Linked DNA regions of Macaca mulatta. Each later gene encodes a partner of the first gene's protein in a complex. Links are inferred from orthologs where the notes say so. Each region holds a gene or a part of one and is shown in the gene's direction. Other genes may lie near its edges. The genes, in order: KPNA4 and RANBP3.

Region 1 (3,811 bases):
ATTGTGCCCCAGTATAGCTCAGAGACCTAACTATTATGCGTGAGGGTTGAGGTACTGTTTGTAGGGGTCTTGCTAATCTAGTGAAGGAGAATGATTCTAAAGATTATTTTTGCCAAATTCTTTATTCTTGCATGGAAATAATCATTGTTACTTTGATATGCCACCTCTTTATTGCCCTTACACAGGGCTAACATGGAAGTAAGGAGTGGCTATGAGTTTTAAAAGGAGAATTTCCCTGTAAACCATTCTCGACATTGGGTTTATACTATTAGGAATGCGATTGTTTCTATATCCAGAGTCCCTCACTCTTGCTTTTATACCAAATGTTAGATTTAGAGCTATTATACAGCATCTTGATCTTTCATTTTTTATTCCAATCACATTCTGTAATTAACACGAATATATGGATGCAAAAAGAACAAACATTTTATTTCCAAATATTATAGTGCAAGCGAAGGTGTTTTCACTTATGGTAACCTTTTAACATGGCTTCATATATTAGAAACTGCAGTGATGCTTTAGATACAGAAATTAAACTTGTCAGTTCTCTGCAGCAGTTGTTCTCAAACCTTAGCATGCAATCAGAACTACATGGGGTGCTTGTTAAAACAGAATTCCAGACCCATAGAGTTTCTGCTTCAGGAGGCCTGAGCTAGAGCCCAGTAATCACATTGAGAACCACTGTTCTAGCACTGGTTCACCCTTTTTTTCTGACATAGTTTTCTAAGTGTATAGAGTAATTTATAGTTCATAACCTTGATGCTCTGATACTGGATTGTAAGTACAAATTCAACAAATGTTTTCTTGATACATCTTTTTTATCACATGAAAGTTTGTTAAACCGAGAGTAATATTGAGAGAGAAGTTAAAAGCAGCAGTTTAATTAAGAGAGCAGCAAAATGCTGAAGATGGGAATAATGTGCAAAAAAATACCTTATCACCTTATGTTGCCTCTCTTGGCTCAGAAATCTTGAATGGGAGCCTGCTTATTGTCTAAAACTGAACAGTGTATCTGGTTAAAATACATGAAGCAGCGTATTCCCAGTGCTTCGTGTTTTCTGAAAATGCTTACTGTCAATGTTTTATTGAGTTAATCCTTTTTTTCTACAGGTGATGGGCCCCAGTGTAGAGATTATGTCATAAGTCTTGGAGTTGTGAAACCTTTACTTTCCTTCATAAGTCCATCTATTCCTATAACATTCTTAAGAAATGTTACTTGGGTTATGGTCAACTTATGTCGCCACAAAGACCCACCACCACCAATGGAAACCATTCAGGAGGTAAACAGTTAAAAAAAATTAAAAGAGATACCATTATATATGTGTTTTTTATCTGTGTATGTTTTTAAATCTACATATTTCTCTCCTCAGATTCTTCCAGCCCTTTGTGTTTTAATTCATCACACAGACGTAAATGTGAGTAAATGTGTCCCATTATATATTTATGTATGTATGTATTTCTAGGGCTTCCCCTGTGACATAGGGGGGAAATACTGTACTAACACATTGTGTCAGCATACTGTCAGATTTTCCCATATCACGAAATATAATACCAGTTAAGAAATCAAGCATAACTGTTATTTTGGTGTGGGCAATAATGTATGTATATATATATATGTGTTGTAAAAACTGACATTAAAAGTTTTTAAAGTTGCCCGTTAATAGTGATTTCTCTTACTAAGATCGTGTCTTTGATTGTTCATGTGCTTTTTATAAAGGAAGCTCATTTTGACAGTTTGGCCAATGAAAGCACACACAGATAGTGCTATTTTTGTTTTTTGAAAGATGAGAAAGGAAAATGTTTGTGCATGGATTTGTATTCATATACACATACCAAACCATGCACATCAATTGCCCTTTAATTCCATTTTTTATTCTATTTCTCAGTTACAGTGACTGGCAGTGGCTTCATTTATCAAGATAACTCTTGATTATTCAAACAACAAGGAAAAAAAAATCAGTGCAGGCAAGATTTTAAACATAGCAAATATATTTTGCTTATTTTTACTAACACAGATGGCAGAGGAAAAAGCAACTCAGGGAGTATGAATGAGGTGGAAAACTGCCCTGAGTGCTTGTAAAAGCCAGACCAGCCTTTGGTGTGTTAGAGAAACCAGGAATATACTGGGTAAGGGAAGACATATGAATGAAATGTTTAGCAACAATCAGGAACTCATGTGGTTCTTTAAAAACAGTTTGGCATGGTGACCAGTGTTGGACAAGCTGCTTCATTTCTTTACAATTTAAAGGCCTGTACCTTTTGGCCAGAATTTAATTTGTCTGGAACAAATTAAAATTAGAATTTTACTGTATCAAACAGTTAAATAATATTTTGCTTTGAAAGATTTACAAGAGGCCAGGTGTGGTGGCTTATGCCTATAGTCCCAGCACTTTAGGAGGCTGAGGCAGGAGGATCACTTGAGTGCAGAAGTTCGAGACCAGACTGGGCCACATGATGAAACCCTGTCTCTATAAAAAATACAAAAAAATTAGCCAGGCATAGTGGTGTGCACCTGTAGTCTCAGCTACTCGGTGGCTGAAGCCAGAGAATCTCCTGAGCTTGGGAAGTCAAGGCTGCAGTGAGCTGTGATCATGTCACTGTACTGCAGCCTGGGTGACAGAGCAAGACCCTGTCGAGAGAGAGAGAGGGAGAAAGAGAGAGAGAGATTAACTTCAAAGTTTATACCTCTACTGGAAAACAGGACATCTTGGTTGACTTTTATTTAGAGATGTATTGTGTTCTTTCCACCTATTTCCTCCAATCTAGATGAGATTGTGACTCTATTTTCTTGCCTTTGATGTTTCTTGAAGAATTTCTCAAGTCTGTTTGCATCATTCTTTTTAGTAACATGATTAACAAATAATATTGCTTACTAAATAATGTTTTAGAAGTTTGATTTGAATTTTGATTTTGATCTGAGCATATTAGTGACATGTCCTTTAAAAACATGTATCTAGCTTTTATATACAGTTATGAGCAAGTAACTTGAAATTTTTGGCCTATGTCAACAAATTTTAGCATATGTTGATATTCCAGAAAAGAAACTCAGTTACATTTGCAAATTGAAATTTAGGTTTTTTCACATACGTTGATACCACTCTTTCTGGGTGAACTCTTTTTTTTTTTTTCTTTTTGAGATGGAGTCTCGCACTGTCACCCAGGCTGGAGTACAGAGGCATGATCTCCACTCACTACAACCTCCACCTCCTGGGTTCCAGCGATTCTCTTGCCTCAGCCTCCAGAGTAGCTGGGATTACAGATGCCCGCCACCACACCTGGCTAATTTTTTTTTGTATTTTTTAGTAGAGACAGGGTTTCAGTATGTTGGCCAGGCTAGTCTTGAACTCCTGACCTCGTGAGCCACCTGCCTCGGCCCCCCAAAGTGCTGGGATTACAGGCGTGAGCCACCACGCCCGGCCTGTGCAAACTCTTTTGTTTGATATCTTCTTTTTACATTAGAAATATCTTTAGCGCTTTCGGCCGGGCGCGGTGGCTCAAGCCTGTAATCCCAGCACTTTGGGAGGCCGAGACGGGCGGATCACGAGGCCAGGAGATCGAGAGACGATCCCGGCTAACACGGTGAAACCCCGTCTCTACTAAAAAATACAAAAAAACTAGCCGGGCGAGGTGGCGGGCGCCTGTAGTCCCAGCTACTCGGGAGGCTGAGGCAGGAGAACGGCGTAAACCCGGGAGGCGGAGCTTGCAGTGAGCTGAGATCCGGCCACTGCACTCCAGCCTGGGTGACAGAGCAAGACTCCGTCTCAAAAAAAAAAAAAATATATATATATATATCTTTAGCGCTTTCTTGAAT
Region 2 (4,399 bases), on another chromosome or scaffold:
AGCCAAGTTCAGGGGACTTCATAAGCCTGAATAAAAGGTTTAGGATATTCCAAGTTCAGCTGAGAGCCCTCTGGAAGCACTGAGTGGCCTTGATATTTCTGTTTTCAGTCTATGTGTGTATATATATATACACACACACACACAAATATATACACACATATGTATGTATATATCTGTGTGTGTATATATGTATGTAGATAAAAACAAAGTATTTATATCTATATATATGGGGGGGTTCTTGCTCTGTCCCTAGGATGGTGGCAGTGGCACTGTTGTCATAGCTCACTGCAGCCTCAACCTCCTGGGCTCATGTGATCCTCCTGCCTCAGCCTCCCGAGTAGCTGGCCTGCACCACCACACCCGGGTAATTTTTGTGTTTTTGTAGAGATGGGGTCTTGCTCTGTTTTCTAGGCTGGGTTTGAACTGAGCTCAAGAGATCCTCCCACCTTGGCCTCCCACAGTTCTGGGATTACAGGGGTGAGCTACCGCATCAGGCTGGTTACATTTTTAAAAGACTCCTCAGCCTGCGGCCATGGGCAGAACAGAGCCTGGGGCTTCCAAAGAATGCAGCAAAGTCCAAGTCTTCCATGAGACTGTCCAAGTCTTCCATGAGACAGATAGGGACGATGTGGCCTAGGGTGGTGACAGCCTGGCTGGGGAGAAAGCGTGGATCTGGGCTGTATTTTGGAGGCAAGGCCAGGTCCGAAGGATTTGCTGACAGATTCATAGCAGGTGAGTAGAAAACAACTCCAGGGTGTCCGGGACCCTCCCATGAGCCTTGCGAGTGAGGCTGATGGTCCCATTTTCCAGATGGGGAACCTGGAGGCGCGCGGGGTCCAACACCCTCCCATGAGCTTGTGAAGTTGATTCTCGTGGCTCCGAGGGGTCGAGTTCCACGCGCCGGGTCCCCCCTGCCCCCCGCCAGCACCTGCGTCCCAGGGCTGCGCTCCCTCCTCGCGCCTGACCACGACCCCCGCCCTCGCCGATGAGCTCTGATTCCCCCCAATCCCAAGCACCCCGCGCCCTCTCGCCACTTCCCCCGTGGTTTCAGGAAAGGGTTTGCTGAAGGTAACGGCTCCTAAGGCGGGTAAACTGAGGCAGGAGGTAACGCGTCTCCCGCCCGCGCGTGTGGGAAGCCGCCGCAGGCCCGGGGGTTTACCTGGAGGAAGACCTCGGCTGAGGCGTCCTGAACTGCTCACTGTCCCACCGCGGGGGATCCCCGGAAAACGAGCGGGAAAAACGAGAGCCTCAAGACCCGCCTCGCGCCGCGCGGCGCCGCCTCACTAAACTTTCGTCGCTGCCACTGCGCATGCGCCCTTCCCGGCCCTGTCCCCGCCCCCTCAGTCGGCGGGAAAAGGAGGCGGGAGACGGCTCGTGCGCAGGCGTGTGTTGGGAGCGCGGCTCCGCAGGGCAGGCGGCTTGGCCCGGCAGGCGATCTGAAGCTCGCCTCCGCGCGGCGCTCAGCGCGCAGGCGCGAGCTGGCCGCCTCACAGGGAGTAGGCTTGTTAAGTGCGCACGCGCGGGAGTTTCTGGCAGAAAGCAGGCGAGCCTGGGCCGGCGCGGGGCCTTGTGGGAGGGCTTAAGGAAGTAAAATGGCGGACCTGGCGAACGAAGGTAGGGGAGGCGCCGTCGGGGACCGGCTGGCGGCCGGGGAACGGGCAGCGGGAGGACCAGAGGCCACAAGCCTGTGGGGGGAACACCGCAGAGTGCAAGGGTTTCGTCCGCTTCAGGCTAGCACCCTGGCGGGCCCTGCAGCCGCCCCCTATTGCCTCCCCTCAGGTCGGGCTCACCGGCCCGGCCCATCACTCCCGGCAGCCTCGGCTCCTGCAGCCGTTTGGCTAGAGGAGCCGGGAGGCCGTCGAGATCGCAGCCCTAAGGGCCCTCTGCGTCGCAGCCAAGCTCGGGGCTGAAGGGGGCGGGAGTAGCGGCCCCAGTGCTTCGGCCACAGATGTAAATAGACCTTGGGGCCTGGTCGTGGCCCGGAGCGCGCCACGCTCCCTCCCCGCCCCCTCGTCCTCCGCCACCCGACGTCTCCCCTTCCCCGGCCTGGCTGCCTATCTCCTGAGCCCGTGAGGCCCTCGTCCTCCGCGGACCAGCCGCACACCGCGGCCGGAGGAAGCCCAGGCCGTTTTCACCGCGTCCCCGCCCCGAACTTCGGCCCCCACTTCCCGCCAGTTCCCCCCGGATCCTTCGGGGCGCCTCGTCTCCCCCTCATTTAGGCCCCGCCGCAGGATCTGGGCCGCCGAAAGCCCTGGCTGCTTTTTGGTCCTTTTTGCTGCGCTTCCAGACAGAGACCGTGCGAATCCCTCCTCTGTGGAGCGCTGACAGCCCACCTGAGTGTTTTTGACAAGGTTACACTTCCAGATCCCCCGAGAAGGCACCGTAAGGCTGATGTCTGCTTCCATCCACAGTCGTGTTGCCATGGCTGTAGCTTCAGGACTTCTGAGGCCTATTTTTAGCTCCCCCTTCTTCTAGTTGCACAAATGCAGGCAATCTCTCTACCTGTCTGGCCCTGATTCCCTCATCCGGTGCTCCCTGTAGCTGGAGAGTTTTCCATCCCGAATTGCACTAATGAATGAATTATGATAGGAAGTGCTCGGTCTTGTGGAGCATTTAGGGTAGTACCAGTTAAGGTGCAAAGTCCTGACATACTGTTTTCCCTGGGAGGAGGTATAGATACTGTTAGCCCCATTCACTTGATGAGGAAACTAAGTCAGCCTGGTTACGTCGCTTATCCAAGGCATGTCACACAGCTGGGAAGGAGCAGGGATGTGAACCAAGGTGGCCTGGCTTCAGATGCCAGACCACGGGGTCTCGGACTTTTAAAGATTCTGATTCTGTGTGGTGTTGGGCGGGCGCTGGGCATCTGTACAGGAAGCAGCACAGGTGGGCTCCCTGATTCTTGGCCATTTTATTCTATTTTATTTTTTGAGACGGAGTCTCGCTCTGTTGCCAGGCTGTGCAGTGATGTGATCTCGGCTCACTGCAATCTCCGCTTCCCGGGTTCAAGCGATTCTCCTGCCTCAGCCTCCCGAGTATCTGGGATTACAGGCGCGCGCTACCACATCCAGCTAATTTTTGTATTTTTAGTAGAGACGGGATTTCACCATGTTGGCCAGGATGGTCTTGATCTCCTGACCTCGTGATCCACCCGCCTCAGCCTCCCAAAGTGCTGGAATTACAGGCGTGAGCCACTGCGCCCAGCTGCTACATCTCTTTTTTTAAGATAAAGGAGCCCGTGGAGGGTTGCAGCGTTCCAACTCATGAGATCTAGTTACAGAGGGAATGGGTAAGTGGGAATCAATATGACATATTTTATGTATTTACATCCTGAGCCCATATAGTTTCTTGAACTCAGGACTCATGTCCAGCATCACATTTGGACATCTCCATTTGGATGTGTCATAGGCTTGTCTGGAGCATTTCCAAAACAAAAATCCTTATCTCCACCACACCCACCCATCCCATGGTCTTTCACCCATTGTAGTTAGGCAGATCCATTCTTTGAATTCCTCAGGCCCCAAACCTTGGAGTCATCCCTGGTTTCCCTCTTTCTCATACTCCACAGCAAATTCTGTCATTTCTACCTTAAAATTATTTCCAAAGGGGGACCACCACTTCTCCCCACCAAGACTGTCAATGCTTGGGCCCCTGTTCCCTCCACCCTTACCCTACTGAAAACTTCTCAACCCATAGTGGGCCCCAGTGCCTCCCTGTCCTTCTCTCTCACCACTCTCCGCTGACTTGCTCTGTGCTAACTACTCTAGCTTTTTCAGTTTTCCTTGAATGTTCCATACACTCCCCGCTTTTAGCCTTTTCTCCTACTGATTCCTCTAACTGAAACAGTTTTCCCCCAGATACCCCCGTGGCTCACTTCTTCTGGTTTTTACTCATATGTTACTTTATTAATGAGAGCTTCTCTGGCCACCTATTTCAAATTATATCCACGTTCTCTATTCCGTTCACCTAGCTTGATTTTCCTGTACAGCTCTTACAATCCAGCATGCTAGATGTTACTTGCATGTTTGCCTCGTGTACGCTCCATGAGGTCAGGGATTTTTATGTCATGATCACTGATTACCCCCTTGCATCTAGAACGGTGCCTGGCACAGAGTAGGTATACAAGAAATATTGGTTGAATGAATGAATGAATGAATGAATGAATTCACCAGTGAGGACCCTGTTGTGAGGAATACATTTGAGCACAAAGGGAAAATTATGGATTGCCCTTTTCCAGGGGATACTCTTTCTAGCATATGCGGTACACGTGAGCTGTTGGTTGTAAATGGCATAGTTGAACTGGTAAGGGCCAAAGAGAGAAATGGAATGTTTTGAACTTCACTTTTTTTCCCTAGTAAATGCCACACTCACCTAGCACGTTATCCCTGACACTAGTTCA

The links.
Region 2: the proteins of KPNA4 (region 1) and RANBP3 are in contact, whole or in part, in a crystal structure (PDB 5XZX), measured with the Homo sapiens proteins. The link is inferred for Macaca mulatta from reciprocal best matches to the Homo sapiens genes KPNA4 and RANBP3. Residues at the interface, in NP_002259.1 of Homo sapiens: Arg96, Leu99, Ser100, Asp102, Arg103, Pro105, Phe133, Trp137, Thr140, Asn141, Ala143, Ser144, Gly145, Thr146, Ser147, Thr150, Glu175, Gln176, Trp179, Gly182, Asn183, Gly186, Asp187, Asn219, Trp222, Val225, Asn226, Arg229, Asp261, Trp264; in NP_015561.1 of Homo sapiens: Asn114, Tyr115, Cys116, Pro117, Pro118, Val119, Lys120, Arg121, Glu122, Arg123, Thr124, Ser125, Leu127.

What each region holds. Positions count from the first base shown.
Region 1 is NC_133407.1:63,694,272-63,698,082, reverse strand, and holds part of KPNA4 (importin subunit alpha-3), read left to right. Parts: intron 1-1,110; coding exon 1,111-1,280; intron 1,281-1,370; coding exon 1,371-1,415; intron 1,416-3,811. UniProt on the Homo sapiens protein: Functions in nuclear protein import as an adapter protein for nuclear receptor KPNB1. Binds specifically and directly to substrates containing either a simple or bipartite NLS motif.
Region 2 is NC_133424.1:6,857,440-6,861,838, reverse strand, and holds the start of RANBP3 (ran-binding protein 3), read left to right. Parts: upstream 1-1,575; 5' UTR 1,576-1,592; coding exon 1,593-1,614; intron 1,615-4,399. UniProt on the Homo sapiens protein: Acts as a cofactor for XPO1/CRM1-mediated nuclear export, perhaps as export complex scaffolding protein. Bound to XPO1/CRM1, stabilizes the XPO1/CRM1-cargo interaction. In the absence of Ran-bound GTP prevents binding of XPO1/CRM1 to the nuclear pore complex.